Linked DNA regions of Diceros bicornis minor. Each later gene encodes a partner of the first gene's protein in a complex. Links are inferred from orthologs where the notes say so. Each region holds a gene or a part of one and is shown in the gene's direction. Other genes may lie near its edges.

Region 1 (6,820 bases):
GAGGGACCTAATCGAATCCACACACCAGACCACCTGGACTGTGGGTCAGTTATACACAAATTAATAAGGAAGCAATGAAAGAAAGAGCATGCACTGTCAGGGGACTTTTGTTTCACTGTCGGTATTTATCCTTGACTAAGGTCCTGTGGTTCAAATCCAAGATAATAGGACGGGTGTGCTGCAGCCAGGTGAGAGGAGGTTCAATCCTTCTTGGCTTCCTTAGGGAGATAGACAGCTCCAAATGGAGACGAGATTCTTTGGAGCAGGCCTCCAGGTGGGAGTGGAGATCCAGGAGGGTGGAAACCACTGGGCAGTTAAGTCCCACCAGGCTGTCCTCATCCTGCGCTGGGTGGGCACTCCCCCAGGCCCTGCTGCTGCTGCAGCACCTCCAGGTCTCCCAGCTTCCCCGGGACCTACAGACCACCTATGTTATTCATTTTGATATAAAGACATATCTCAAGATGGCACCAAGACACTGGTAAGAGCAAGTGAATTAATAATGATCCTTGCGGATCATAATAGGAACTTAACCAACTTAAGGTTCCAATTCACTTGTTAATTATTCATCTTCCTTTTTAAAAAGAGCTAAGACCAGGAGAGCCAAGGATCAATCCCTTACAGATGACACAAGTGGAAGTCCTGAGACCCGCAACCCAACCTCAGCACCTCCAGGGGTTCATCCATTTCTGCCAGGCTGGGCCTGGGTGTGGACAGCAGATGAGCACAAACCCTCGAGTGAGACCTTCCTGGGTTCCTGCACTGGCCTGGCCACTTGTCAGCTGATTGACACGAACTTAGTTCCTTATCTGTACAATATGTCTCATAATCCAAGCAGTCTTACAGACGTCGTGAGCCAAAGTAACAGTGGTAGTGAGTATCTGTTGAGAACTGTCGAAGGCCCAGGCACTACGCTAAGTGCTCCATCTGTTTCATCTCCTCTAATTCTGCTTGGGTGGGAATTCCAAAGCTGGGACCTGAAGACTGGTGTTTTTTTTAAGCCTCCTCAGTTAATTCTCAGATCAGTCAAATCGAGAACCATGGTTGTGTATGAATACTTAGACAGTGACTAACTGGTCAGTGTCTTAGAGACAAACAGACCTCACTCTGTCACTCACTACCTGAACGCACTCAGCCAAGTCTTTCAACCTCTCCAAGCCTCGGTTTCCTCACCCACAAAATGGGAGCAAAAATAGCATCCACTTCTGAGAATTGTTCGGAAGGTGAAGTGAGCCAGTTTAGGCGGCTGTGTCTGGCACACAAAATGTTTGATAAATGTTAGCTAGTGCCCTTAGACCAGCTCCTTTTTCTTAGGTGACTGAGAACCCAAAGACTGTCTGAACTTTGTGCATAGGTCACTCCCTCTTAGTTTAAATTTATTGCTTTTCCATCTACGCGGTTCACTTCACATCCTAAGTGTTGAGGAAGGGGGGCTAGTGTGCTACAGTGGAAAAATCCATGTGTTTGGTCCAAGAGGACTGAGTTTGAGTCTATGTGTTTAAGCCTCAGTTTTCTCATCCATCACATGGGAGAACAACCCCCTGCATTGCTGTGAGAGTTAGAGATAACCCACGTAAAGGGTACAACATATAGGTACTTGTTACGAGAGGTTCGGGGATTCGATCGGAGACGTAAAAGACACTTTCCACTCCAAACAAATGGACTGAAGGTATATTTTATTATATAGAGGATAGTAAAGGCGATAGTCTGCAAACAGATCCAAATAGGTCAAATATTAAGAGGGAAAAAACATCAGCCCGAGTGGAAAGGGAAAACACCCACATTGGCTGAAGAGAAATGACACAAATCAACCAGAAAGAGAAACACCAGGTTGACCGAAAAGAGAACACATCAAATCACTTACTACACATCAAATCAATTACTTCATATCAAATCAATTACTTACAACATCCACGCACTGCTGGGAGAGCCCTGTCAATCAACGCAGCTGGGCAAGGATCACACGTCCTGGGCAAGGTGTCCCTTCCACAGGTGGAACTCTCACCGGGGCTCAGTTTCCAGCAGTTTTTATACCATCAGTAATTTTCAGAGTAAGCAATTACAGAGTTTGCAGAGCAAGCATTTAGTGTTCCCATGTACAAAATGGTTATCAGTGGCGTACGTGCACTGAGCCTCCTGGCTAACATCCCGGCCCAGTAGTTGTGTACGTGCATTGTTCTCTTTGGTTATCGTCTCAGCCCGGCACAGATGGCCAGTCCATCCCGTGCTACGACGCTCCAAGAGCCTTGAAATGTTACAACTTGCAACTCTCTCTGTGGGAGAAAGGCCAGTTCCCGGGAAAAGGCCAGTTCCCACCACACAGAAAGCAGCTTTTATATTTCTTTTTGTGCTGGTGGCTGTAGGTCAATGGAGCGGCCAAACATGGCTGTACTCATGTCAAGACAGTACTGTATTATTGTCAGTGTTTTGGTTACAAAATGTACAAGACAATGTAGTCCCATTTGCTTAGTTTTTCTTTTGTTTCCCTTGCCTGAGTAGACACGGTATTCAAAAAGATGCTGCTAAGACCGATGGCAAAGAAGGTACTGCCTATATTTTCTTCTAGGAGTTTTATGGTCTCAGGTCTTACATTCAAGGCTTTAATCCATTTTGAGTTAATTTTTGTGTGTGGTGTAAGATAATGGTCTACTTTCATTCTTTTGCACGTGGCTGAGGGGAAGGGAGTGGTGGGAGGGTAAAAGGAGTAAAGGGGCACGTATGCAGGGTGAGGGATAAAAACTAGACTATTGGTGGTGGACACAATGCAGTCTATACAGAAACTGAACTATAATAATGTACACCTGAAATTTACACGATGTTATGAGCCAATATGACCTCAATAAAATAATTTAAAAAAATGTACAAGATGTGAAAACAAAAGGGCAGAAAACCCTTGAAATAATTGAAACTGGAAACAGAAGCAGAGAGTGGGGAGGGGACGAAGGATGAAGAAAAACTGGTGAGGGCCCCTGGGCAGGTCTGGGGGGCAGATCTCCACATTACACCACCCCAGCCTCGGCCCTGGACAGGCACTGCTTACTACTGCTCTTGGGAGCTTGGCTAGGGATGCGAACACTGTTGCTACTCCTACTCAGGACTGGGCCAGACCCACTCCACCCTTTTTGTGCACAGTCTCCCCACATTTCAGCCAGAAGCCTGCTCTTACCCAAGGAGAGCTCAGACATAGGATCTCACGGCTGGTCCATGGTATCCGGGCAGAGATTTGGGCCACGGCACAGAGGGACAATTCCTCTCCCCAGCCTGTCACGGGAAAATGGCATTATACTTGCCATGGGCAGTCTCAAGCCTGTCTTTAAAAATTACAGGGGTTATTAATAGTAAATGTAGTCAGGACAAATGCTTTCCAATAAAGCATGTCCAGCTTCCTGGTTTTCAGTTTGCACGTTGACGAACTGTCTGTCATCTCCTCCTCTGAATGGTTGGAACTCAGCACCATAATAAGAAACATTTCTTGTTGAATGAGTCACTGATCTCCAGTTTTAGGAATCAGCTTTATTCTCTAGTTCTTTTTGTTGAGGAATTTTCTCTCTCTCTTGCCGAGACCAGATTTTGCCCTTCTGCTGGAGGGCAATGTTTTCGCAGGTTCCCCTTTGTCTCTTGTGATTTTTTTAAAGCCCCGCTGGATTTGCTAGTAAATTCTGAATGTGGAGAACAGAGAAACAGGAAATGAGTCCGCTGGGGGAGGAGAAGAGCCCGGAGGAGGGATCGAAAGTAAAGGAAATCTTCTTCCTGGAGGCGTTTCCGTCCCCGCTCCCCTCCTCCCTCCCTGTTTCACGGGCTTTTTCTGTGGCTGTGTGGACAAGCCTTAAGAATTTGTGTGTGAAACTAGGCCGGTCAGGGGTCTGGCATGGGGACCTGGTGACTGTGATGTTGCCGGGACAGAGTGGAGCAGGTGAGTGCCTCGTGCAGACACGGCTTCTGGGGACTGCGTTTCCCGACCGAGTGGAGACACCTCCGGGCCTGCCAGGGCGCAGACGTCCGAATGGCGTTTCTCTCTGAACCACAGCCACCGGCCTTGCTAACTCTGAGGAATCTCCAGCTCCTCTGCTGCACTTCTGTTCACAGTCTCCCCAGCTGCCTCAGTACAGACAGTGTCTCTCTCCTGCTGGATCCCACAAGACTTCATTAACCCGTTTATGTTTGTTTTCTTTTCCGTTGGGCCCTGGGACAGAGGGTTGAGTTAATCATTCTGTCAGACCCCATGGCCTGTCATCCTTGGTCTCCCAGCCTGCAACACTCCCCCCCCCACCCCGTTCTAAGCAATTTCTTTGATCGCCCTACCCCCACCACACTTCCGACACCACTCACTGGCTCCCCAATGACCACTCTCTGCGTCTTTTATAAGTATCCCTGAATTGATCTGTCTTTGCAAAATGTATCGTTGTTTTGTGTGTGTACACTATATCTAAACTCTGTGACCTGGAGCAAGTAAGTATTTCTTGATGTCTGTTTCCTCATCATTAAATGGAATTAATGCTACCTCCTGAGGTGGTTGTGAGGATTGGAGGAGATAATACGTGTTAACCACTTACAAGAGTGACTGGCACTACGAAGTACCCAGTAAGTGTTAGCAATTATTATTGCATATGAGTATTATTTGTAAAAAGTAAGCACTCTGCCCTCTAAATTCTATGTATTTTGCCAGGTCCCACTTCCTAACCACTACAAGGTATTACACGATGGACAGTCTCCCCAGTCCTATATGAGGACTATGTAAGAACTTGGCCACCAGTCCTTGGTCTGATCCAACTTGCAAATCTTTGTCAATCTGATAGGTATAAAGTGGGTATTTCCTGGCTTTATTTCGTGTTTCCCCAGTTACTGATGAGTTTGAGCATCCCTTGGTACACTTTGGCTATTTGAGCATCCCTATCAGGGAAGTCCACGTTGTATCCATTGTCCTTCTACTGGGTTTCTTTTCTTGTTGATTTGCAGGAAACCTTTGTACGTTCTGGATCTTGCTATTCCCATGGCAGGTCCTGGGAACATGGACATGAAAGATGCGGTCTCTGCCCTGTGAAGCTCACAGCCCAGGACAGGAACTAGTCACAAAAGAGTGGAACAAATGCTGGGGTGGATGCTCAGGAGGCATCAAGAAAGAGTCAGGGAACAGCTCCTGGGCTAGGATTTAGCCCCTGCAGGCTTTCATTCTTTTGCTGTGTTCTCACACAGGCTTTACGAGCAGACTCAAGTGGTAGTGAGGGGCGTCAATGTTACCATGGCACCCTTACCTTGCCCGCTAAGGTGAAGAGGCACTTGCAGACACCTCATTTCATCCTCTCAACTATAACATGGGTCTCGGCCCTCTGAAAGCTTATATTCCATCTGGGAAAAGAAAAAAGGCAGTTTCAAAAAACAGAGGTGTTTGATTTTCTTTTTTTTCTGCTTTTAATATCAGAAAACATTTCAACCAACTCACAGCAAAAAGGCAGGGCTAATGTGTGTTCGTGGTTATATCTCCAGGGCCCCTCTTTGGTAAGGTCTGCTGGGCCTTATGGGAGGAAGGCCTTTGATTCTAGAATTTTCTAGGCTGTTAAGGGTGGGATCTGGTGGCCTCAGGGCCATAGAGGTGATCCTTGTATTTGAGCGTAGCTGGGGAAACCGCGGGAGTTAGCTGTAGGAGTTAGCATACCCTCTGAGAGCCGTGGTGAGGGCCCCACAGTTCCCAGATCTCAAGATCTCTCAGAAGTGCTTAATCGATATTTATTGAATGAAAACATTGAAGTCTTAGTAATGAACCCAGAAAATCTGTAAATTCCTGACATATGAAAAGAGGGGGTTCTTAGTTAACATCCAGTCCAACTTTCCTATTTGGATTGTGGTGATGAGGCCCCAGAGGTGAAATGACCCGTCCACAGTCACACGGCCAGGCCAGGGCTCAGGTGGCCGGGCTCCCAACCCAGCGTGCTGTGGCCTGTTGCACCTGGTCTCTCTCTGGCAGCTCTGGAAGGAGGCGCTGCTCTGAGGCCAGCCTACCTCACTCGGCCTATTGACTCAGGAGTTTTTAAAACAGGAAGTAGAGCGAGCTGTGCTTTTGGTTCTTCATTTGTTTTTTACTCTTGTCTTGGATGCGCCAGCAGAAAGAGGCCTGCGAAGAAGCTGCTGCCGCTTCGAGGATCCCAGGATTTGCTTTCATAAGGTCAGTTGGGCCTTCGGGGAGGAAGGCCTTGGATTCTAGAGTTTTCTAGGCTGCTGAGGGTGGAATCTGGGTGATCCTTGCGTTTGAGTGTGGGTGGGGAAACCATGAGTGTTAGCACTTTCTCTGAGAGCCACGGCGAGCACCCCACAGTTTCCAGCTCTCAGGGCCCCTCCAGCTCAGGTTGATGAATTCCTGGAGGCTTTTCTGGAATGCTCCAAGTATAGCTATCCGTATAGAACCCTCATCCTTATGCTGGCCAAATTTGTCAAAGAATAGAAACCGAAATTTAAATTTCAACTGATTTTGTTGCTATGCTTACCCATCTGCCAACACATACCCACTGACAGACACACACACATGCACACAGTCCTAATAATTCAATTATTCATTTTTTAAAAGAAATTAAAAAGGTACAGAACAGTACAGAAAATAGTAGAATGGCAAGCACAGACTGACAAAATCAGAGACCTGTGCTTGTGAGGTACAAGTATGTAGAGGTGAAGTTATGAATATCATCCAGTTGGAAAATTACAGGTCAGCTGTAAGTTTTGTTGAGATTTGAACACCTTTACTAGGCTGTGAAAGCTCTGGCTGCAGGGCCCTGTGTTTGACCGTGTTTGTGTGCAGGGTGGACGGCTGCCAGGTTCTGGGGGAATCCCCAGT
Region 2 (7,670 bases), on another chromosome or scaffold:
TTCTGCTCCTAATGACAGTGAAGCTAATTTTGCTCATTACTGAGATAGGCAACACGTCTCTTATTTGTCAGTACTCCTTGGATTTTTATTCCTTTTTGGCACAGATGGATTCCTATTCATCTCTTTTTTTTGTTGTTGTTGTTTTCTGAAAGTAGTTTGTTATGGTAGTCAGTAGTTTTTTGATGAGATTCAAAATTCTGTATGAATAAATGCCTTCAAATCATGCGTTGGGGACAAGAGCTGACCAGGTTGGTTGACGGCGTGAGGTGGGAAGAATTGATAGTTGTAGTTTATAGAGCAGCTTCTTAAAGATTTCGGAGGAGACAGATATATGGGAAAGAGCATTTGTAAAGCAATGTAGGAAAAAAGAAAGAATGGAGATGATTAAAAGGAAAGTTTTAGTTTTGCCGTGTGCTGCACAATATATAACACTCGTTTCCATCTTCGGCAAAACTTTTAATAAAATTTATGTTCCTTGTCAAGGCTGACACTGGTGCTCTGACTGGGCTCAAGATAGTGTAGAGTGATGCAGAGGCTACCCAAAGGGCCCTGTGCATATTTGGGTTACATTAATGTTTTTATTGTGAAATAAATTATTCATACCCAAGGGTGTGTGTAATATATATGAACAGTTTAAACAGCATAATTGTAATCATAAAATAAGCACTCAAGTTCCAACCAGCCAGGTTAAAACGAGAATGTTGCCAGTTCCTTTGAAAACTCTTGGGTGAACTTCCTCAATTGCAACCCCCTCCGAGCCCCCAGAGGTAACCAATCATCCCTTTGGCTTTCTTTATAGTTTTATCTCACATATAGCTATCTCTAAATAATGTTACCTAATTTTGCCTGTTTTTAAACTTTATATAAATAGAAACATATTCTCTTGTGTTTCTTTTGTTTCCTCATCATATTTTTTGAGATTTATCCATGTTCTTAGATGTACAGCAGTTCATTTATGTTCATTGATGCATAGTGCTCCATGGTGTGAATATGCCACAGTTTATTAATACATCCTGCCCTTGATTGACATGTGGGTTGTTTCTAGTGGTTTTTTTTTCTGTTATAAACAACGTTGCTAGAATATTCTTGTATATCACAGTGCAACAATTTTCAGATTATGTACGTGGGAGTAAGATTGCTAAATCATAGATTATATGCCTATTCAACTTCACCAGGGTATACCATATTCTTTCTAAAGTGATTCTACCAATTTTAGGTTATGTTTTCATTCCTGATAATACCAGAGACTTTGCAAACTTGGAGGCAGAGATATTACCTGGTCACCTTTATAGAGATAGCCACAGTGCAGGAAATGGGTGGTGACTTCCAGGCCAGTGCAATTTTGGTTGTGTATTTCCTCTTTGGTTCATTTCTTCTTTCCTTGGCCCCCATTCTCAGACAAGAATATCTCTTACCACGTGAATGTGTTGAGAAGGCTTCCAGGAGGCTGAGAATGTCAGAAAAGAAGAGATTCAAAGTTAGAGGCAGAAAAGGAAGGGGACATTGCCTCACGCACACAGTTTTGAGGGTCTAGAATGCCCATCGAGCAATAGAGGGGAGAGGGTTGACTTGCAAATGTTTTGCTCAGAATTCCTGGCCCCAGAGTTGAAATGCTTTTTGTAGCTAGGAATTCCCATAGTCACTGGAGGACTGATTGTAAGAACTATGTTTTCTAATCTTTTATCCTCAAGGGACGTGGAAATGTGGATATAACTGCCTGAAAATCTGGTGTCCTGATGCTCAGGCCTCCGTGCTCCTGTGCTTCCTGTAATGAGAGTGCCTGGTACCTACACACCTTCCCTTCTCTGTGTCCTCCTTTCCTCTAGAGGGTCAGCCATGAACCAATCACATTAGAAAAATAACCTCTAATCCTCAGAAGATCCCTGAGAAGTAGATATTGTTCCAACTTTAGAGTTGAGAAAATTGAGGCTCAGAGAGTTGAATAACTTGCCCCAAACTAGACAGCTGCCAGGAGGCAGATTTGAGAATCAGAGTCACAGATGTTTACTTTTATCTCCGGTATCTCTCCTTGTGCTTCTGTTCTTTGTCTTGTCCTTGATAACCATGTGGCCCTGAACAAGTGTCTTCTCCTGTCTGAGCTTTAGATTGTAAAGTAACAGTTCACATAGGCTTAATAAACGTTTATTAAAAAATGAAAATCACTGTATGGACTTCTTACATTCTAGGAATAATGACATTCCGGGCCAGCAAAAGGTCTTTCTCCCTTGACATTATTATTGTTGTTGTTGTTTTTATATTTGTCTCCTAAATCTACTCTCACAGCCTTTGGCTAAACATGCGAATTTAGCCTGTTCTACAGCTAGTAGGTGCCTACACTTAAGAAGGTCTTGGCTGTAAAGCTTGCTTTGGTGTTATTGTTGGTAATCTGTTATTCTGCTTTCATCCTATTTTGCTGGCAGAGAGCATATTTCCCCTCATGACGGTCAGGATTTTTAGTGGAGGCTTTCCCAGGATGTGCTGTTACAAACTCACACACACCCTGGCTCTGATATTTGTCTCAGAGAAGCAGCCAGGCATGGCAGCACACCAGCATGCCATTATCCTGGTCTCTGGGGACAGTGCTATTGTGGCCTCCCAGGCTCTTTACTTCTCCAGTCACACCTCCCTCTGCCAGTAGGGGGCGTCAGAAGCAGAGTGAGAAGGCCTCATTCAAATGTGTCATTCAAATATTAAAATCTGTCTCTGTCTTGGTGTGGCTTCAGGAGATTCAGTTGCCACCACCTGGGATTCACAGGGAGGATAAATTATTCAGACCTTTCTCCTGCATAACCTTCCTGCTTCCTCGCATGCCAGTGCCACCTCACCTATTTCTCTCTTTCTTTCCTGGGCTGGAGAGAAGGGCATATTGGTTCTCCAGTGGATCCCCTGATTCATTGGGAATGTGAAGGCGATGATCTGAGTTGTTCTCTATGACCAAAAATACTCTACCCCCAAAACAATAAATTGAAATAAAAAGAAATCCTAAACTCTTCTCGTAATGGTCATGCCACATAAAGAAAAAGATAAGGGCCTTCAGTTCTAGTGCCTTTTTGCAGCTGGTTGTCCTGTAATCCTGTATTCTCTGCTTTAAACTGGGGAGAAAATCTCAAAGAATAACAAAGATGACTGAGGATGGCAATAGGCAAGAGACCTGAAGTTTTTTATAGTCTGGAACAGATGCTGGCAAACTTTTTCTGTAAACGGACAGACAGTAAATATTTTAGGCTTTCTGGGCCCTTCTGTCTCTGTGGAACCTTTATTTCGATTTACAATCCTTTAAAAATGTAAAAACCCTTCTTAGTTTGGGATCCTTACAAAGATGGACCACAGGTGGAATTTGGCCTGTAGTTTGCCAACTCCAGTTCTATAAATTCATCCTCAATTTTAGAGCAACAAACTATCATAGAAAAAACTTCTAGAGACATGATATGTTAAATTGTGAGAGGAAGCAATAAGCAGGAATGTCAGGATCAAGCATGAATATTAGGAAAGAATTTCTGGAAAACAAAATGAGCAAAGACAATGAAAGGAAAGGAAGGACAGAGATTGCGAGAAAATTATTTAAGAGAATTAGGGATGTGAGAAAGAGGCAGGGAGATGGGATGAGGATTGAACAGAGTATCTCGAACAAAGTAGAGAATCTGAGAAAATGGAGTAAATGAGGTATATTTTCTCCTAAGTATTGTTATTGGCAAATACACGCAAGCCCTGCTGTGTGACAGACCAGATTTGCGTGGGCATTTGGGAAGGAAGTAACTCCCATCTTGTGGTTTTAACTACAGTCTGCTTTTAACTGTATGTGTCAGGTTAGAGGCCCTTACTTGCTTTCCTGTCACGTTGCCATGCTCTTGGTTTACTGCATGTTCAATCAGCTTTCGTGATTCAAAAAAAAAGGAGGGAAAGAATGAATCACTGCCCTGGGGTGCAAGTTGGCAAGGGTGAGTGGGAAGCAAAGCAATAATTGTCAAAAGCTTTCTATGGATTGAGAAATAAATGCAGTGATATCAGTGATGTAACTCTAATCAAAATATGAACGTTTCTTCCCTCAGATAATTGACCATCCAAAAATATTCAAGATGGAGAAAAAGGAAAATCAGAACATGAACTGAGAGCTAATACATGTGTCAAAGAGAAAATAAGGAAATAAATCTTAAATGTAAGACCGGGTTGGAAACCAGTTAAACCAGGCTACTTTTTTACTAGAAGATAATTTGGAAGACAGAGACTTCTAAAAGCCCTAGAAATACTGGACATCACAGGAAAGGGCCCATTTTCCCAGAATTATGAAAGAGCACTAAACGAGGAGTCAAACTATCTTGGCTTTAGTCTTTAGTCTGTTCCTTTCTAGCCTTGTGACTTCAGGAAAGTCACTTAGCTTATCTAAGTCTCAGTTTCCTCATTAGTAAAGTGGAGATAATATGTTTTTCCTATTTAATACTGTTGATTTGATTTGTACATGGATATTAAAGGGCTTTGTAAAGTATTAAGAACCATGGTAACGACAGAGATATTATTAGTTTGGTATTTTCTTATTATTTATTAGTATTTTATTAGTGGGTTGACTTTACTTGTACATGGAAGCTTGTGTGCTATGATTGAGGGATTTCTAAAGGACGAGCTGCCTATCAAATTTCTCCTAAATTGGACTGTGGTAACATGATTAAATCATTCCATGAGATTCTATGTTTCTACAGTCCCTAGGTTATAAAAATCAGAAATATTAAAGTGCAAATGTATCAAAGACAAGACCCAATTCAGCTGTGGCCATCTTAGCTCTTGATCAGCTGGTCACCTAGTAATGTCTTGGGAGAACAGAGCAGAATTGCCACTAGAGGTGTCCAAAGAGCTTGGAGTCACCATGAAAGCACTAAATGCCTGTCAATAGAACTCCAGAGGGGAGCAAGACATTAAGAAAGAGAGCAAAGGTCTTCTGCAAATGGCTTCACAATTGTGACCTAGGCCAATTTGTTCTGCCTGGAGCTAGGGTTTTTGAGAGATGGCAGCCTGTGACTTTTTTTCTTGAATTGCTTCCCAGTGCCTTTTTTACCTAAACAAGTATTCTCACGACAGGATTCTGACAAACCCTCCTGGAGCTATTATGACTTTCCACCAAAAATTCATGCTTCCCACCAGGAAACCATCTTTCCAGACTGGTTTGTATCTGGATGGGGCAGGTGAGTGGATGTGATGTGTGCACAGGCCGAGGTGGTTAACAAGCAAATACACTTTCTCCACTCTCTTTTTTCTTGTCTTCTCACGGGATATTGATGCCAGTGGCGATGCTGGAAACCAAGTCTTGAAGATGGAACGGCCACAAAAAGGAAGGATCTGAACCCAGGCCACCAGTAGCAGAGCGCGTGCACTTAACCGCTAAGCCCTGTGGCCGGCCGGAGCGAGTTTTTTTTTTACTTTCACTACCTGTCAGTCTTGGGTTAGCAGGTGTTCTTCTAACTCACTTGCTATCCTCACTTAGGAATGCAAAGTGATGGTGACTCAATAATTTAGAATTTCGCTGGTCTCTGTGGCAGTGGAAAGGAGGTGCTGGAAAATACACCACGTGTCTGCTCATATTTCACTGACCCAAGCAAATTATATGGCCATGTCCAAATTTAGGAGGATGGAAAGTTCAATCCAGCTGTGGCAGATTGTGTAGTTGTTTTAGGAAATAATTTTCTCTTGTTCTCTGCCCCAGGAACAGAGTCTTCCGCCATCCTGATTTTGTAACTTGCTTTGGCTGATGCAATGTGGGCGGAAGTGACAGCATCCTGTTCCCAGGCAGAGGCTATAAAAGGAGTCTCATGTTTTCACCTTCTCTTTTGCACTCTACCGTACAGCAATGGAAGGGCAGGCTCCCAGGATCCATTAGTTCTTCGTTCAGGCTCCTGGTTTGAGAGACGTGTGACGCTGATCTAGAGCCTGGAGCAAAGCCCAGCGGAACCACTGCTGAGCCAAGACAAATCACAGAACGGTGAGCAAGAAATGTTTGTTGTTATAAGCCGCTAAGATTTCAGATTGTTTGTAACTGGAGCAAAAGCTAATACACTCCATCATGTACTCAGAAGGAAGAAAAAGCCAGAATATTGGTGACTATTCCAGATGACTACCATCTTGCCTTTTAACTGTTGTGAATATTGCAGAAGATAGCCAGCTAATAAATATAGAAGGAGCGATACTGCTAGAAATCACTATTTGCTTATCCTGAAATAATTGATTCACGCAAAAATTATCAATGAATTTTGAAACCATTAGGTGAAAGTTTGTTTGTTAGGAAATAGAATATTTGGATGAGGCCTAAGTATCACCCGACAGATTACTTGCTCTTTGCAAAAGATTAAATGCACCTTTAAAATAGACAGAACTGTTCTCATCAAACCCTGCCTCACTGATAGTGGACAGCTTGACATGTGTGCCTCCTGGTGTAATACAATATGAAGTAGCAGCACTGCCTTTGAAATACCCTTGCCTAAAATGTTTCATCTGTGTTTAATCAAGACTTTTCTAGTCTAGAGTTCCAGTGTATAGGGAATACAGGACACATAGAAGCATGGTAAATACCACTAGGAGAAACAACTCATCAGGAATGTGGTAATTTTATAAGGTGATCATTTTAGACTCTTCAAAATACTGATGTCATGGGGATAACAAAGCATTGCGTGTGTGTGTATGTGTGTGTGTGGCTGTTCTGGTTTAAAAGTAACAAAAGATATAAAACAAAGGTAGTGCATAAGCCATGATTAGATTCTAGTTTGAAAGAACTAACTTAACTATAAAAGCATCTGTTGGGCTGGCCCCATGGCTTAGTGGTTAAGTGCGCGTGCTCCGCTACTGGCGGCCCAGGTTCGGATCCCTGGCGCGCACTGACGCACTGCTTCTCTGGCCACGCTGAGGCCGCGTCGCACATACAGCAACTAGAAGGATGTGCAACTATGACATAGAACTATCTGCTGGGGCTTTGGGGGAAAAAAAGGAGGAGGATTGGCAATAGATGTTAGCTCAGAGCCAGTCTTTCTCAGCAAAAGGAGGATTAGCATGGATGTTAGCTTAGGGCTGATCTTCCTCGCAAAAAAATAAACTGAAATAAAAAAAAAATAAAAACATCTGTTGTTTGCTTTGGGAAATTTGACTGTGGCTTGGATATGGGATAACCGGTTTTTTTTTTTTTTTTTTTTTTTTTTAAGCTGAGGAAGATTCACTCTGAGCTAACATCTGTTGCCAATCTTCCTCTTTTTTTTTTGGCTTGAGCAGGATTTGCCCTGAGCTAACATCTGTGCAAATCTTCCTCCATTTTGCATGTGGGTCGCCACCATAGCATGGCTGCTGATGAGTGGTGTAGGTCCGTGTCTGGGAACCAGACCTGTGCCGCTGAAGTGGAGCGTGCTGAACCCAGCCACTAGGCCACAGGGCCAGCCCCAATAACAGGCTATTTTTGATAATATTCTGAGGTGTGATAAAGGTATTGAGGCTATTTGGATTTTTTTTCTTATTATAGGAGATGTATGCTGAAGTATTTAGTGGCTAAATATCATAGTATCTAACCTAGTTTCAAATGGTTCAGCAATAAATTTGTATAGATAAACACATGCCTTATAATATTTGTAGTTCAGGCAAAATGTTAACATTTCTTGAATCTAAGTGATAGGTATGCAAGTGTTCATTATCTTATGCTTTCA
Region 3 (7,091 bases), on another chromosome or scaffold:
TCTTAGTCCTTGCTCATTTTTCTATTCCATCTTTTATTTCTTTAAACATTTGACAATAGCTTCTTTTGAGTCTTCATCTGATTATTCCAAACTCTGAAGCCCTTAAAGATCTAAACCTGTTGATTATAGTTCCTGCAGATTCTCCCTCATGGTGATTTGAATCTTTATATATTTAGTAAATTTTTTTGTGTGTGTGAGTAAGATCAGCTCTGACCTAACATCTGTGCCAATCCTCCTCTTTTTGCTGAGGAAGACTGGCCCTGAGCTAACATCCGTGCCTATCTTCCTCCACTTTATGTGGGATGCCACCACAGCATAGTCTGACAAGCAGTGCATCGGTGTGCGCCTGGGATCCGAACCCGGGCCGCCAGCAGTGGAGCGCGTGCGCTTAACCGCTACACCACGAGCCGGCCCCAGTAAATTTTTTTGTGAGTTTATATTTGCCTGAATTTGATCCAGAAACTTGGATTAAGGATGCTTTCTTCTAAGGAGGATTCAGTTTGCTTCTGCTGGACTCCAGGGGGCATTAATAATCTGGGGCCATTTAAATCTTTCAACTTATGGTTTATTTGATCAAAAGGAAAGTAAAAATTCCAACTACAGATCCGTGTGAGAGCAGATCTCACAGGGAAACTAACATTTTCATTAATTTTAACATCTAGCGCTGCAGCCTAGACAGGTTCCCTTGCAGGTTCCCTCCACAAGCAGGTGGACTTTTTCCTTTCCACAAAAAATGAGGCCCCTTTGAGGGCCCCAGCTTGTCAGGGAATAGGCGTGTCTTATATTTAGCTCCTCCATCTTCCTAGGCCCTAGGGCCTACTCTTTGGTTCTCCCTTAATCTCCCATACCCTCTACCCAGTCCCCAAAGCTCTAGGTTTCTAATTAGTTGACCTCTCTATTTACCTTCTTTTTTAACATTTTTCTATTTTGTTGGTTTCAGGGGGATGCCCTTAGGAGATTACCTTTATTTTATTGGGAGCTCACTAACAAATTTAAAAATACATGTTTATTGTGATTTATATAGCATTTAGGTATTCTGCTATGGGAGGCTTTTGAGCTCTCTGTCACACTCCTGGAAGAGAATTTTTAAAACAAACAAAAAATATGATTATATGGGACATACTGTTTTATAATCTGTTTTTTTTCCCACTTGATATATGATAAACACCTGTCATATTAATAAATATAGGTCTAAGTCATCATTTTAATGGCTACATAATCTTCCATTGCATAATTTTTTCAGTCTTTTTCCTATGATTGAATAGCTAGGGTTTTATTTTTTCACTATTTTATTTATTAATATTTTTTTGTGAGGAAGATCAGCCCTGAGCTAACATCCACGCCAATCCTTCTCTTTTTGTTGAGAAAGACTGGCCCTGGGCCAACATCCGTGCCCATATTCCCTCACTTTATATGGGACGCCGCCACAGCATGGCCTGACAAGCGGTGCGTCGGTGGGCGCCCGGGATCAGAACCCGGGCCACCAGCAGCGGAGCGCGCACACTTAACCTCTATGCCACAGGGCCGGCCCCATTATTTTTTCACTATTTTCAACAACACTTCAGTGAATATCCTTATAACTAAATCTTTGCACATATCACAATCTTCTCCCTTAACTGTTTATAAAAGTAATGCATGCTAATATAAAATAATCAAACACTCTGGAACATGAAAATCCTCCATAATCCTTTTTACTGTCACCTCAATTAATACCATTTGGTCTATAATTAGAATCTCTTAATCAAACAAGAGATGAGAATTAGTTAGGGCTAGAATACGCAAGAAGAGAGACACACCCTCTGTCCCCCCACCCCGACAGCTAGGGAGAAGGAACCAGAGCAGGTCCTAGGGATGGGCTGAAAGTAACCAAAGACAGTTGGGAGCAGAGAACTGAAGGGATGAGAGACACCCAAATAGACTCCAAAAGCCTGTGACACCTGGGGTCACAGGGAAGGCCAGAGCTCCAAAATCCAGGAATCAACTCTGCCTTACCAGTCCCCTCCTGCAGAAGCAGAGGATCTTGTCAGGCACTCATTCCAGGCTCCTCTCCCTGCCCTTCCTTCTTCTAAAGGCGCTTGGTCTATTTTGAGTCAAAAAATAGTACAGGCTCTGACACTAGCCGCAACCCTATGCTTATAGTAGCTGACCCCTGTCCCAATCTAAAGAAATCCAGCCATAAAAAGGCCTTTAAACACCCTTCTCTCTCCTGTCTGCCTGTTCCCCTCAAGTGGAGACTAGGGTCTTCTCCCAAAGAGAATCATGAAAGGAATGGCTGCCCCCTCTGATGGCTCTTAGCTCCTGACTAGACTTTTTGAGGACTGCCATTGTATTCTGTGAGATACGCCATATCTCTAGAGTCAAGTCTACTTCAGACAGATTCTGTCAACTGTGCAGATGCAGTGAGAACCCCCAAACCATAAAGAAGCCCAACCTCCTCTTTCCTCCCAATGAGCACGGAGCTCCAGCTGGGGTGATCAGCGTCTTAAGGAAGCTCCGAAAGTTTTGCTCGTTCCTTTATTAATTCAATTCAACAAATATTTATTGGTATCACCCACATACTGGCTTTTAAGGAGACTACAGTCTAAGAATTACAGCTTGGACTGATTCCACCAGAATTCACGTTGTGGATCCTGGAGTTCTCAGGTGCTCTAGAAACCACAGTTAACTGCTGGCCACTTTTGCTCCAACCAGCAGAGCCCGTGGACCACTGGACAGAATGAAAAGTGCATACCAAGGCGAGCACCTTCCAGTGAAGCTGGCACACGACCTGTATGGTTGGGTCTCCTCGTGAAACACTGAGCGTCTAGGGGTGGCCGTATCTAGTTCCCACAACCTCCAGCCATGGTCAGGCTTTGGGCACGTAAAATATGGACACTTTTTGTCTACCCTAAATCCTTAAGGCTCCCCAAGCTCCTGAGTTCTTTTTTTTTTTTTAATTTTTTTTTTAATTTTTTTATTATTTATTTTTTTATTTTTTTCCCCCAAAGCCCCAGTAGATAGTTGTATGTCATAGTTGCAGAGCCTTCTAGTTGTTGTATGTGGGACGCGGCCTCAGTATGGCCGGAGAAGCGGTGCGTCAGTGCGCGCCCGGGATCCGAACCCGGGCCGCCAGCAGCGCAGCGCGCGCACTTAACCGCTGAGCCATGGGGCCGGCCCTCCTGAGTTCTTAAAGGCCCTTGTCCAGAGCATATGCCTGTCGGGAACGTGTATTAACCAGGGCATTTGCATGGAGGAGTTGGCATGCTGGGAGAGGGCAGGGAGGCGCTGAGGTGTTTCGACTGCAGTGTACACCACAATGTCAGCAGCCCTCTAGCTGAGCTAGTTCATCTGACCACAATGCCCTGGGAGTAGGTCTTGGTCTTGCCAGCAGGCAAGTCACTACCAATGCCAGGGGCTTGCCAGCAAGAGCAGCTGTCAGGGACTGGGCAGGAATACACACAGGGACCCTTCACTACACTGTTGGATGCGTCACACCGTCCTCAGCCCCCTCATGACCAGCTGAGTGGTACAGCCCTGAAGCCTGTGTGAGAATAGGAAAACTCGGTGGTTCAGAGCCAGACTCTGAAGTCAATTCATACTGGCTTAGGCAGGATACTTAAACTATCAGTGCCTCCATTTCCTCATCCATGAAGAATAAAAACAGTACCAATCCCCCTAGGGTTGATGTGAGAAGTAAATAAGCTAATATATGTACCTGGCACATGGCAGCCTTTATAGAAGTGTTGGCTATGATCTTAGGGCAGCTATAGGAGAGCTGAGCCCTAGGACCACAAAATCCTCCTCAGCACCATCCCCTCCCCCCCGCCCAGGCCTGGTGGGTGCTGGAGCTGGGAATCCTGTGGGAGAAGGGAGAAACGCTGACTATAGGAGTGAGGTGATTGTGCGTTCCTGGAAGGTGAGGACTCCTTCCGTGGTACCCCAAATGCCCAGTGACGCCTAACCTGGCCGAGGCACACAGCAAGTGCTCAAGGAAACACTGGTTAAAAGAAAGAAGCACTAGCTTCCGTTTTACACTACCCCCTCCCACTACTGGGGCGGGACCATAGAGGCGCCTGTCGGAGAAGGAAGTTATTAACTCACTCGGTGCAGGCACATCGACCCGGGAAGCGGAACCGTGCAGTGGCCTAGAGATTGACCCCTCTCCCGATCCCCTCCCCCTCTCTGCCACAAATCCCGTTCCCAGAAGTCACTCCATCCTCATGGGCTCGAAACTTCCAGAAGCCCCTCACCCTTCCAGCCTGATGTCTTGCGTCAAGTTGTGGTGAGTGGAGAGTGGGAGGCCAGGAGACAACTGACAGTGCCAAGTCCCCGGAATCACGGGGCCAGGCGGGGGTGGGGGTGTGCAGGGGGCAGCGTGGACTTGGGGCCATGGCCAGCTGGTGGACGAGGCTCTCTCTCTCAGGCCTAGCGGAGCCCCAGCCTCCCTGGTGCCCATCGAGGAATTGGAGAACCCGAAGTTGGTTGGCAAAGGCGGGTTTGGCACCGTGTTCCGGGTGCAACACAGGTCGTGGGGTCATGATGTGGCAGTCAAGATCGTGAACTCGTGAGTGACCCAAGCTTCTTTGGAGCCAGTTGGTGTCTGGCCAAGGAGGTGGGGCCTGAATGGGAAAGGGAGGGGTCTTCCCAGGAGCAGAGCCAACTCCATCTCTGTCCTGGGGTGTAGGGAGGCGATATCCAGGGAGGTGAAGGCCATGGCAAATCTGCGTAACCAGTACGTCCTGCTCCTGCTGGGGGTCACCGAGAAGCTGGAGTGGGACTACGTGTCCGGGCCAGCTCTGGTGACTCGATTCATGGAGAATGGGTCCCTGGCAGGGCTGCTGCAGCCCCAGTGCCCTCGGCCCTGGCCGCTCCTCTGCCGCCTGCTGCAGGAGTTGGTGCTCGGGATGTGTTACCTGCACAGCCAGAACCCCGTCCTTCTGCACCGAGACCTCAAGCCTTCCAATGTCCTGCTGGACTCAGAGCTGCATGTCCAGGTCAGCCCATCCACACCCTAGCCCAGCCTTTGGACAAAGTCTTGCTCCTGAGATGCTCCAGCCCTTCCCCCGCTTAATGGGACACAGGACCTGCTGCAGCTCTGGCTACTGAATAGCCTCAGCATCTCCCTCTGGACACAGGGCTGCCCAAGTGTCACTCAGGAGCTTTATCTCTGCCATACCAGGTGATAGAGGCCCTGACCGACACAGTCAGTTCCACAGGCCCACCTCACCAGGCCCTCCAGAGACCCATGACTAACTTAGCCCAGCAGACTCAGACCTTGACCCAGCCCTATGGAGAGGGGACCCAGACTTCCAACCCAAGGGCCCCACTGGTCTGACCGTTCCCTAGCCTTCCATACTCCCTTTACAAGGCTGGATCTGCATCTCCTGGCAGGGAGGGAATTCTGGAAGCTGGTTGGCACTGTCCATCCCCTACCTCCTTCTTCTTCCCTCCTTTTGCAGCTGGCAGATTTTGGCCTGTCCACGTTTCAGGGAGGCTCACAGTCAGGGGCAGGATCAGGGAAGGCAGGGGGCACCCTAGCCTACTTGGCCCCAGAACTGTTGGCTGATATAAACCAGAAGGCCTCCATGGCCTGTGATGTCTACAGGTAAGTACTCACTGCAAACACATGTCCCCAATTTCTACACCTCTCTGGGCCCTTCTAGGGGAAGGTAACGGGAGAGGAGTCTTGCCAGTAGTAGGGCCAAGCCTCAGCTTTGTGTCTTGTGCAGCTTCGGGATCCTAATGTGGGCAGTACTAGCTGGAAGAGACCATGAGAGTAAGACTTTGGACAGACTCTGGGATCCTTAACCCCGGGTACCTCCTCTCACGAGCCCCCAACCCCTCCTCTTCCTGCTTACCTGCTCAGATTGTCCTCCTCCCTCACCTCCCCTTGGACTACACTCCTTGCCCCTTTCCATGATGGAACAGGTGGCCCCTCGTATCCTTAATATCTTCTCTGCACATCGTCCATCCCAATCCCAGTAGTGTCCCAGATATCGCTGGTGAAGGCAGCAGTGTGTGAAAGGAAGGTCCGGCCCCCCTTAACTGAGCTGCCCAAGCCCGGCCCTGAGACTCCTGGCTTGGAGGGACTGAAGGAGTTAATGCAGCACTGCTGGAGCCATGAGCCCAAAGACAGGCCCTCCTTCCAAGGTGAGCTGGCCATCTGGCAGCTGGGGTAGGCCTGGATCTGTCTACAGGGGGCTTTTTCCTGGAAAAGAAGTTTTGCTCCCCTACCACCCACTCTGCTTTCTCTCCAGACTGCCGTCCAAAAATGAAGAAAGCTTTCCTTCGGGTGGAGGACAAGATAGAAGATGCTGTCTCCATGGTGAGTACCCAACACAACCCCCCGCCCCCTAGAAGCTGGTCAGAGATGGCAACATGGCTCCCTTGGCCACCCAATGACTCCCCTGGCCACCCAATGACTCCCCACTGACCACTGTTCTTTATGCCTTGACCCTCCTCTTCAGTTTCCCCACCCCACCCCTGAGTTCCCAGGCAACAGACTGTGGACCAAGAGACTCCTCCCTTGGCTACTCAGCTCCCCCACCTCCACACCCAACAAGCCCCCTGTCCTTGCAGGTGAAGAAGTTCATGTTTGAGCACAGGAGCAGCAACAGGACGATGTTTACCCCTGAGCCAGGCCCAAGAAAGACAGAAATGGATGGCCCTGGGCAAACCACAGGAAGCTGCAATACTGTGGCTGAGATGTTGAACAACCTGAATGTGGAGGGGTTCCCCAACTCTGTTCCTGAAAAGTGTACAAACACTCCTGAGAGGATCAGGGCACAAGGAAAGCAGGTTCAGCATGACCGGACAGCAGGGACATCTGACTCAACAGCTCAACCTCCCCAAACTCCAGAGAACTCACCTTTCAGAAACCAGGTACTCAGCCCCTCCTCAGCTTGGACCCCAGGTCCTGGACCCCAAGGGAATCAGGTGAGACATTGGCAGGACTAGCGGATACACTAGGACTCCTGTGAATCCTGTCCCCTTGCCAGGGGAAACTTGGGGCTGAGGTGGTGTGCGATGGGGGAAGAGACCTCAGGACAGGGAGCCCGAGAGCACTGTGTTGTTCACAGGGGGCTGAGAGACATGGTACCCACTGGCCTCCC
Region 4 (7,864 bases), on another chromosome or scaffold:
TCTTTTGCAGCCAGAGCGCAAAGCGGAGCCAGGACCCAGCGAGGGGGCCAGGGAAAAAGAAGGCACAAGGAATTATTTGGTGAATGACGGGATGAATAAACGGGGTGGCTTTGCTACCTCAGAGGGGACGGCTGGGATCATATGATGAAGATACGACTCGCTCAGCGTTCTGTGAGCACCTTCATGGGCACGATCCCATTCAACTCCTGCAACAACCCAGAGGTAGGTGCTGCTGTGATTACCTCTGTCAAAGGGAGAAACTGAGGCTCAGAGAGAGGAGTCCCTCGCTCTGGGAGCAGAGCCCCGGTCTGCCTGACTCCAGGGGACACAGGTGACCGGCGGAGCCCCGTCAATGGCTCTGCCGTGAAGGGCAGCGAGCAGGGCCGGGGCTGGCCCTTGCCTGGTCGTGTCCCTCGCCCTCCGCTGGTAGCTCTTGTGACCTCGTGCCATCCCCCGCTCTCTCTGGCCACCTCTGGTTCTCGGGCCTTTGCCCCTGACACAAAACAGGTCATTACCCACATTTGGTGCCTTCAGACATTTCCACTTCCCCCCTGAGGTGAATTCACCGAGGAAATGTGAAAATAACATCCACGCTGCCTGGTAGAAGGAGACTGGGCTTTGCCAACACAATGAGCAGTAAAAATATCTCTCTTTTAAAGGAGAGAGAAAGAGAAATTTAAAGACTCAAGATCAGTAACATGTAATTATCATTGAGTTTGGGCGGAGAGTTCTAATAGTTTCCAGAAAAACACAAGCCATGAAAAAGGAGTGTGCTTTCCAAGCAAAGAGAGATTCGGGCTCTGGGGGTTGGAGGCGCCATCTTGGGACTCCTGTGGCCTGGAGGCCCATCCCGGGGGAGTGAGGGGGCACCAGTATCCCTCCCCCCCTGTCCTCGTCTGCCTTCTACACTGGATAGGAGGTCCTGAGAGTATGGAACCTGCCTTTGATCTCGGCCTCGGTGGGGCTCAGCCTTGGGCCTGTTCGATAGACAGGCCCCCGTGAATGGACACACCTCAAGGCACAGAGGGGTATCCTTGCTCCTTCCTTCAGGGGACAACACAGCCTCACAGGGACAGCTAGATAATCCTCCAATATCCGTTGTCCCGTATTTTGAAGTAATAGAACCTCCAATTTTGGCTGGCTGCATGGTGGGCCAGAATAAAGACCATCTTTCCCAGACTGCCTTGCAGATAGGCCAGGCCCTAAGACTCAGGGGATGTCAGTGGAATGTGTGTGCAACTTGCAAGTGTTCTTAAAGGAAAGGTACCTGCCCTTCTTCTCTTTCCTCCTTCCTACTGGAAGGAATGCAGACATCATGGCTGGAGCTTGAGCAGCCATCCTAGAACATAAGGGCAACCTGAGAACAGAGGCCACAAACAGCAGAGCAACAAGATAGAAGGGGCCTGGGTCTCGACACTATGGACCTGGACCACCTACCAGACTGTTATGGGAGAAAGAAAGACACCTCTGTATTGTTTAAGCCACTGATATTTGGGTTGAAGACAATCCTTATAGTCAAAATTACCTTGAAAATCTCTTAAATTGAGAAGAGAAATACAAGATAATCCAAATCTGTATAAGTGAGAATCCCGCTCAGTGTGGTGAGATGCTCACAGCAGGTTCACAGCTTCCGTGAATTCCAGACATATCACAGAATGCTCTGGAAGGGGGAACCACTTGCATTAAATTGTTCCTTCTTTCTCTTTCTTGCTCTTTTTTTTCCCCCTAGCACCTAAAGTATTGTGGAGACACATCACATCACATTTTCTAACTTACGCAAATTTTGTGAGCACCTACCTAGTGTCAGATAGACATGGTTTTTCTTATTTACTATCTCCATTTCATAATTAAGGAAACTGAGGCTCAGAGAGGTGGTGACACACAGCTGGGGAAGCAGGGCTGAAGCTCGGATCAGACCTGCCCTGAAGAAGAAGGCAAGGCCGAGTCCTTGTCCAGGCGGCACCTCCCGGGCGCTCGGCCCTCCTGGCGTGGTGGTTCCTGCTGGAAGGTCCGAGGGACGGTCAGCGAGCCAGTGCGGAGGCCCCACGGGGCTCCAGGCCCCGGGCCGGTTGGTGAGCGGGCGCCACCTGGTGGCTACTCTCGGCACAGCTCCAAGCCACCCGCTGGGTTCAGCAGGAGCCCCCCCGAGGGCGCCCCCACGATCTCCCTCCACACCCCCAATTACCCGCATTTAAAATTAATATTTTCAGTTCATATAGAGATACCCGATTCTTTGGTTTTACGTAAAAGGGGAACAAAAGCATCCTTGTGGTTTCCTGTTTTTACCGAGTTGTCCAGCTCTCCGCCTCAGACGGCGTGAGATCACCTGGGGCGCTCGGCCGCGCCCCAGAGGTTCGGAGTTAATGGGTCTGGGTGGGGACTCGTCGTTGAGTTTGTCCTGCTTGCTCTGCGGAGACAGCTTCCAGACGAGCCTCCTCCGGGACCCTTTTCCAGGGCTGCCCTTGTTCCCAAGCCCCTCCGGGTGCAGAAACGCTGGGGCGAGGGTCCCCCAGGGCGCGAGGACATCCGCTCGCCCTCCCAGGCCTCTGCAGCGGGGACCCTGAGTCCGGGTCTTTGGGGGCTGAGCTCCTGACCCTCTCGGCTGCCTCATCCAAAGCCCTTCAGCTCTGGGGCCTCAGTTTCCCCTTCTGTTCCCTGGAAGAGAACAGAGGCTCTGAACTGCTCAGCCCCTTTGAGGATTTATGAAAGAGATGGGTCCTTTTTCCAGAAACAGGTCCCAACCGTGCTCGTGACTGTAGATGGCCCTGGTGGCTGTGATCAGACTGCTTAACTGGATTAACCCCCTAGTCTTCCTGAGGTGGCTACTTTTATTAGCCCCATTTTACAGATGAGGCACAGAGAGGTTAACATACTTGCCCAAGGTCACAAAGCCAGTAAATGGTGGGGCTGGGTTAGAACCCAAGCATCTCTGTGGCCTTGGACAAATGACCTCACCCACCCGAGCCTCGATTTCCCCTCCGAGAAGAGAGGCCGGACCCCGAGAAGAGAGGCCGGACCCAGCCCCCACCCTGTAGATGGGTCAGGGGGACACAAAGATTGGAGAGCACATAGTAGACACTCACTAAAGAAAGATGCACTGGGACACGCACGCGATCCCTCACAGGGCACCGCCAGCTGTCTCTTCCGTGTGTGGGGGTCAGGTGGGCAGTGGGGGCGCCTGGAAGGTCGGGGAAGCCTCCTGGCCCTGGGGGATGCTGCGTCTTGCCCAGCCCAGCTCTTCCCTACCAATATCTAGACGGAGGCCTGCTCGGACTTGCTCATCAGTTCTGCTTTCGATTTTGTTTCTCTCGAAAGCCATACACAGAAGTTTCATTTTCTCTAGAAGGCTGGTCAGGGCTGGCTCCTGGGCTCCGCTTCCGGGGTGTGCACAGCTGACACCGCCAGGTTGAAGCTGGCATTCCTTCACAGCTGCCGGAGCACGAGGCTCGGCCACGCCAGGACAGCCGGCATCACCGTGGCCCACCCTCAAGGCCGCGATGCAGGAGCCGGCCGCTGCCCCCCAGGCTCCCGGGCTCCCAGCTGCTGCTGCCGGCATGGCCGAGGCCCCTGCTGACCCCACCGAAACAGGTACTTTCTTCCCTCCAAGGAAGTGGGAGCTCCCCCGTGGGACTTGTACTTCTCTCTCTGGTTCTTGGCCCAGATCACGGCGAAGGTAGCAGGGTCCCCTCAAGCACAGCAGTGACGAGGAGGAGAGCACAGCGTCCCCTCGGAGGGCTCCTCTGCCTCGGCACCCTGCAACACACTTGGTGTGCGCTTCACAGTGACGCTCAGCGGTGAGCGCAATTGTGTTTCCATTTTCCGAATGAGCTCGAGACCGCCGGCCCTGCGGGTGGGATGACTCAGGGCCTACGGCCGACCCGTCCTCATACTCATTTTGAGAAACAGCGGAAGCCGCTTTGACAAGATGCGCATGTGCGTGTTTTCCCCTCGTAGCATTCTGTCTTCAGATGACGCTTTCCTCCAGGAAGAATCACCGGTGAAAGTCAGCCGCGCACCGAGCGCGGCCGTGCTCTACGGTTGACGCTAAGGGCGCCACAGTGTGGGCTGCGGGCGAGGGCGGTTTCTGTTTGTTATCATTAGCTCATTTAGTCCTCACAAGCTTTAAAGTTGATACTATTATTCCCATGTCACAGATGGAGAAACTGAGGCCCAGAGAGGTCACATAGCTAGGAGATGGCAGAGCTGAGGCTCAAACCCTGGAAACCAGCCATCAGAGAACAAAAAGGAGAAAAAGAGGGTGTGCTGGGGAGGGGTGCCAGGCAGGGGCCCTGGGAGGGGTCCTGGGGAGGGGTGCTGGGCAGGGGTCCTGGGAGGGGTGCAGGGGAGGGGTCTGGGGAGGGGTCCTGCGAGGGGTGCAGGGGAGGGGTCCGGGGAGGGGTGCCAGGGAGGGGTCCCGGGAGGGGTGCAGGGTAGGGGTCCGGGGAGGGGTCCTGGGAGGGGTGCAGGGGAGGGGTCCGAGGAGGGGTCCTGGGAGGGGTGCAGGGGAGGGGTCCGGGGAGGGGTCCTGCGAAGGGTGCAGGGGAGGGGTCTGGGGAGGGGTCCTGGGAGGGGTGCAGGGTAGGAGTCCGGGAAGGGGTGCCAAGGAGGGGTGCCGGGGAGGGGTCCGGGGAGGGGTCCTGTGAAGGGTGCAGGGGAGGGGTCTGGGGAGGGGTCCTGGGAGGGGTCCTGGGATGGGTGCAGGGTAGGAGTCCAGGGAGGGCTGCGGGAAGGGGTGCCAAGGAGGGGTGCCGGGGAGGGGTCCTGGGAGGGGTGCAGGGGAGGGGTCCGGGGAGGTGTGCCAGGGAGGGGTCCCGGGGAGGGGTCCCGGGAGGGGTCCTGGGAGGGGTCCGGGGAGGGGTCTGGGGAGGGGTGCCGTGCAGGTAGGAGTCCAGGGCACTGGGTAACCTCATCTACCTTCTTCCCCATTGGCTTCTCCCTTTCTTTACCAACCTGTCGCTCACACCTGGTCCATGTCACAGCTTCCGGTCACTGAGGTCTCTGTGCAGGAGGCCAGCCCCGCCCTTCCGGTTTGGCCTTCACCCACACCTGCTCCCCAAGCCTGCTTGCCCTTTGTGGTCAGGGCAGTGGAGGAGGAGGGAGGGGAAGAGGCTACCCGGGGGCAGGCTTTCCAAGAATCAAAACTCTTTTCAAGAAAGGCAAAGCCAGGGTCTGGCCCGGTGGCATAGTGGTTAAGTGCCCGCGCTCTGCTTCAGCAGCCTGGGGTTCGCAGGTTCGGATCCCGGGCGCGCACCAGCGATCCGCTTGTCGGGCCATGCTGTGGCAGCGTCCCATATAAAGTGGAGGAAGATGGGCACAGATGTTAGCCCAGGGCCAGTCTTCCTCAGCAAAAAGAGGAGGATTGGTAACAGATGTTAGCTCAGGGCTAATCTCCCTCACACACAGAAAAAGAAATGCAGAGCCAGGTGTGTAGTTAGTTGGACAGGGATCCCCTGGCCGCTGGGGTAGAATTTGGGGGGTGACAGGGCGGGTGCCGCCAGGTGTTCTAATGGCACCTCTAATTGCAAGGATGGAAACATCCTGACCGCAGGGCGAGCCACAGCGCCCAGCTGTCGAGTCAGGTGGGTTAGCCCTTCCCCAATAGTGCTGCCACCAAGGACCCCGGAAAAACCCAGAAGGCGAAGGCCAGCTGCTGCCCCGGAAGGGGACCCAGGTCTTGCCAAGAAGGGCCCTGCTTTGCATCCCCCTCGGGGTTCTTGGGGGCAGACATTTGCTGGCGGCAGACTGGGCAGCTGCCCACAGGCTCTCACCAGCCCCGCGGCCCTGTCCTCTCACCCCCGGAGGAGCAGCTGGCTGAGGCTTGTGGGACCCTGTCCGCAGAGCAGAGGCCATTCAGAGAGTTCCTCCTTGAGCCTCACGAGATCCTGCTGAGGGGTGTTAACCTCAGATGGGGAAACAGAGGCCCAAGAGGAGCCGCCTTACCCTGCTCCAGGTCATGTGGGCAGACATCCGTCCCAGGAGTGGGCAAATCCACTCACTCACTCATTTGCCTGGTCACTCATTCCTTCAAGGGCCATTTCCTGAGAACCTACTGTGTGCCCTGCACTGTGCTAGACATCATAGGTACTACCGTGAGTCAGGCAGTCACAGCAGGGAATCCTGGGGGACATTCTGCAGGGGACCCACACACAAACAGCACCCCACCCACTCAGGGCATCCGGGACAGCTTCCCAAAGGAGATGGCATCTGAGCGAGACCTGGAAGTTAAGTAGACGCTGGACAGGTGGAGAGGGGGGAAGAGTGTTCCTGACATAGGGAACAGCATGTGCAAAGGCCCAGTGGTGAGTGGGGCTGGAAGGAGCGCAGACGGGTTGGCACTTGGAGGGAAGTTGAAGGTGGGTGAAGACGAAGCGGGGTGGTCGGCAGAGCCAGTTCTGGCTGCCGAGTGGAGAGTGGACCGCAGGGAACCCGACTAGAGTTGGTGGAATTGCTGTCACCTGAGGTGGTGACGAGGAACAGGGAAGAGGAGGTGGAGAAGAGGAGACGAGGGACTCAGGAGAGCCAGGAACAGGATTTCCAGGACTCCGTGTTTGGGCATCAGGGAGAAAGAGCCGTTTCTGAATGTCTCTTGGGTCTCTGGCTGGATGAATAGCGACACCACTGACATGGATGATGAGCCCCAGAGGAGGGGCAGCTTCCCTGGGGGGCTCAGAGCCCAGCAGGCCTGCCTCTCCCTCCCCCGCCCCCCCCCACTCTCCCGCCTCACTCTCCCCCGTCCTGCCGCCCTCCACTCCCCTCTGCTCTGAGGACCTCTCAGAGCTGAGCCTGAGAGCTGAGAGTTCCCACCTGCCCTCGAGCACTCACAACAGGGGGAGCACACTCGGAAGGCCTAGGCACCTCCTCTGGCCACCAGGCTGTCCAGCCAAGGTCACCTCTGACCAGCCCAAGTGCCCCTCACTGAACAGAGGTGGATGTCTGCTCGGGTCTCTGCCCTGGACCCCTCTCGGGGGGTCTCCCTCGCCCCCCCAGCCCAGAATCGATTGTGGGGGGACTCGGTTCTCTTTCTGCCCCTCTTGTCGCCCAGACCTGGAGCAGAAGATCCTGCAGGTGCTGAGGGGTGCTGGCTCCCCGGTGAAGGCTGCCCAGCTGGCCAAGGACTGCCAAGTGCCCAAGAAGAGACTCAACCAAGTCCTCTACCGGATGAAGGAGGAGGCGAAAGTCCACCTCGAGGGCCCCGCGACATGGCGCCTGGGCGAGGGTCAGACTGGAGAAGTGGTTCCCACAGAGCGGGCCCAGCCCTGCCAGGGTAACCTGCCTCCGGGGCGGGATGGGGGGGTCGGACCCTGCATGAGTCCTGGCAGTGGACAGCCCGGATTCGGACCTGGGCTCAAGCAGGGGCTCTGCCCCTTGGGGGCGCGTGAGGTCCCCTCACCATGCCTTGACTTCTTTTTCTGGCCAGCGGAGATGACAGTAGGGCTGCATCATAGGGTTGCGAGAGGATTAGATGCAAAGGGCTCAGCCTGGTGCCAGCACATAGTAGGTGCAGAGTAAAACATTAATAGTAATAACAGAAAATGGTAATGACAACAACGACGATAGAGATAATAATAACAGAACAGACTTAGCATGGCGCTAGATCCTCCTTTCCAGCTCTTCAAAGAGCTGCCATTGTCAGGTACTCGCAGGGGCCGGTGCGGAGCCCGGGGGTCACCCTGCCCGCACCCAACCCCGGAGGTGGGTAGACGGCGTTCTTCCCTCTTCCCAGAGAGGTTAATTAGCAGGGAGCCTGCACAGCAGGAAAGTGGCAGGGCCGGATTTGAAGGCAAGTCTGTTCACTCTAGAATCCGAGTTTGGAACGCCCGTGCGCTGGGGCCACCCTTGTCTGGTGGATCCTCGTCCCTTCCCC

What was found.
Region 2: CASP8 (region 1) and interferon-inducible protein AIM2-like share a complex: the UniProt entries of both Homo sapiens proteins name them as parts of the AIM2 PANoptosome complex. The link is inferred for Diceros bicornis minor from reciprocal best matches to the Homo sapiens genes CASP8 and AIM2.
Region 3: CASP8 (region 1) and RIPK3 share a complex: the UniProt entries of both Homo sapiens proteins name them as parts of the AIM2 PANoptosome complex. The link is inferred for Diceros bicornis minor from reciprocal best matches to the Homo sapiens genes CASP8 and RIPK3.
Region 4: CASP8 (region 1) and ZBP1 share a complex: the UniProt entries of both Homo sapiens proteins name them as parts of the AIM2 PANoptosome complex. The link is inferred for Diceros bicornis minor from reciprocal best matches to the Homo sapiens genes CASP8 and ZBP1.

What each region holds. Positions count from the first base shown.
Region 1 is NC_080749.1:79,144,965-79,151,784, forward strand, and holds the start of CASP8 (caspase-8), read left to right. Parts: upstream 1-3,800; 5' UTR 3,801-3,910; intron 3,911-6,095; exon of another isoform or gene 6,096-6,157; intron 6,158-6,820. UniProt on the Homo sapiens protein: Thiol protease that plays a key role in programmed cell death by acting as a molecular switch for apoptosis, necroptosis and pyroptosis, and is required to prevent tissue damage during embryonic development and adulthood.
Region 2 is NC_080743.1:63,954,312-63,961,981, reverse strand, and holds the start of interferon-inducible protein AIM2-like, read left to right. Parts: upstream 1-4,663; 5' UTR 4,664-5,968; intron 5,969-7,670. UniProt on the Homo sapiens protein: Sensor component of the AIM2 inflammasome, which mediates inflammasome activation in response to the presence of double-stranded DNA (dsDNA) in the cytosol, leading to subsequent pyroptosis.
Region 3 is NC_080744.1:23,680,814-23,687,904, forward strand, and holds the start of RIPK3 (receptor-interacting serine/threonine-protein kinase 3), read left to right. Parts: upstream 1-4,081; 5' UTR 4,082-4,199; coding exon 4,200-4,261; intron 4,262-4,402; coding exon 4,403-4,543; intron 4,544-4,663; coding exon 4,664-4,973; intron 4,974-5,438; coding exon 5,439-5,584; intron 5,585-5,708; coding exon 5,709-5,755; intron 5,756-5,961; coding exon 5,962-6,129; intron 6,130-6,236; coding exon 6,237-6,304; intron 6,305-6,558; coding exon 6,559-6,861; coding exon of another isoform or gene 6,862-6,915; intron 6,916-6,977; coding exon 6,978-7,091. UniProt on the Homo sapiens protein: Serine/threonine-protein kinase that activates necroptosis and apoptosis, two parallel forms of cell death. Necroptosis, a programmed cell death process in response to death-inducing TNF-alpha family members, is triggered by RIPK3 following activation by ZBP1.
Region 4 is NC_080758.1:5,918,586-5,926,449, forward strand, and holds the start of ZBP1 (Z-DNA-binding protein 1), read left to right. Parts: upstream 1-4,853; 5' UTR 4,854-6,627; coding exon 6,628-7,264; intron 7,265-7,864.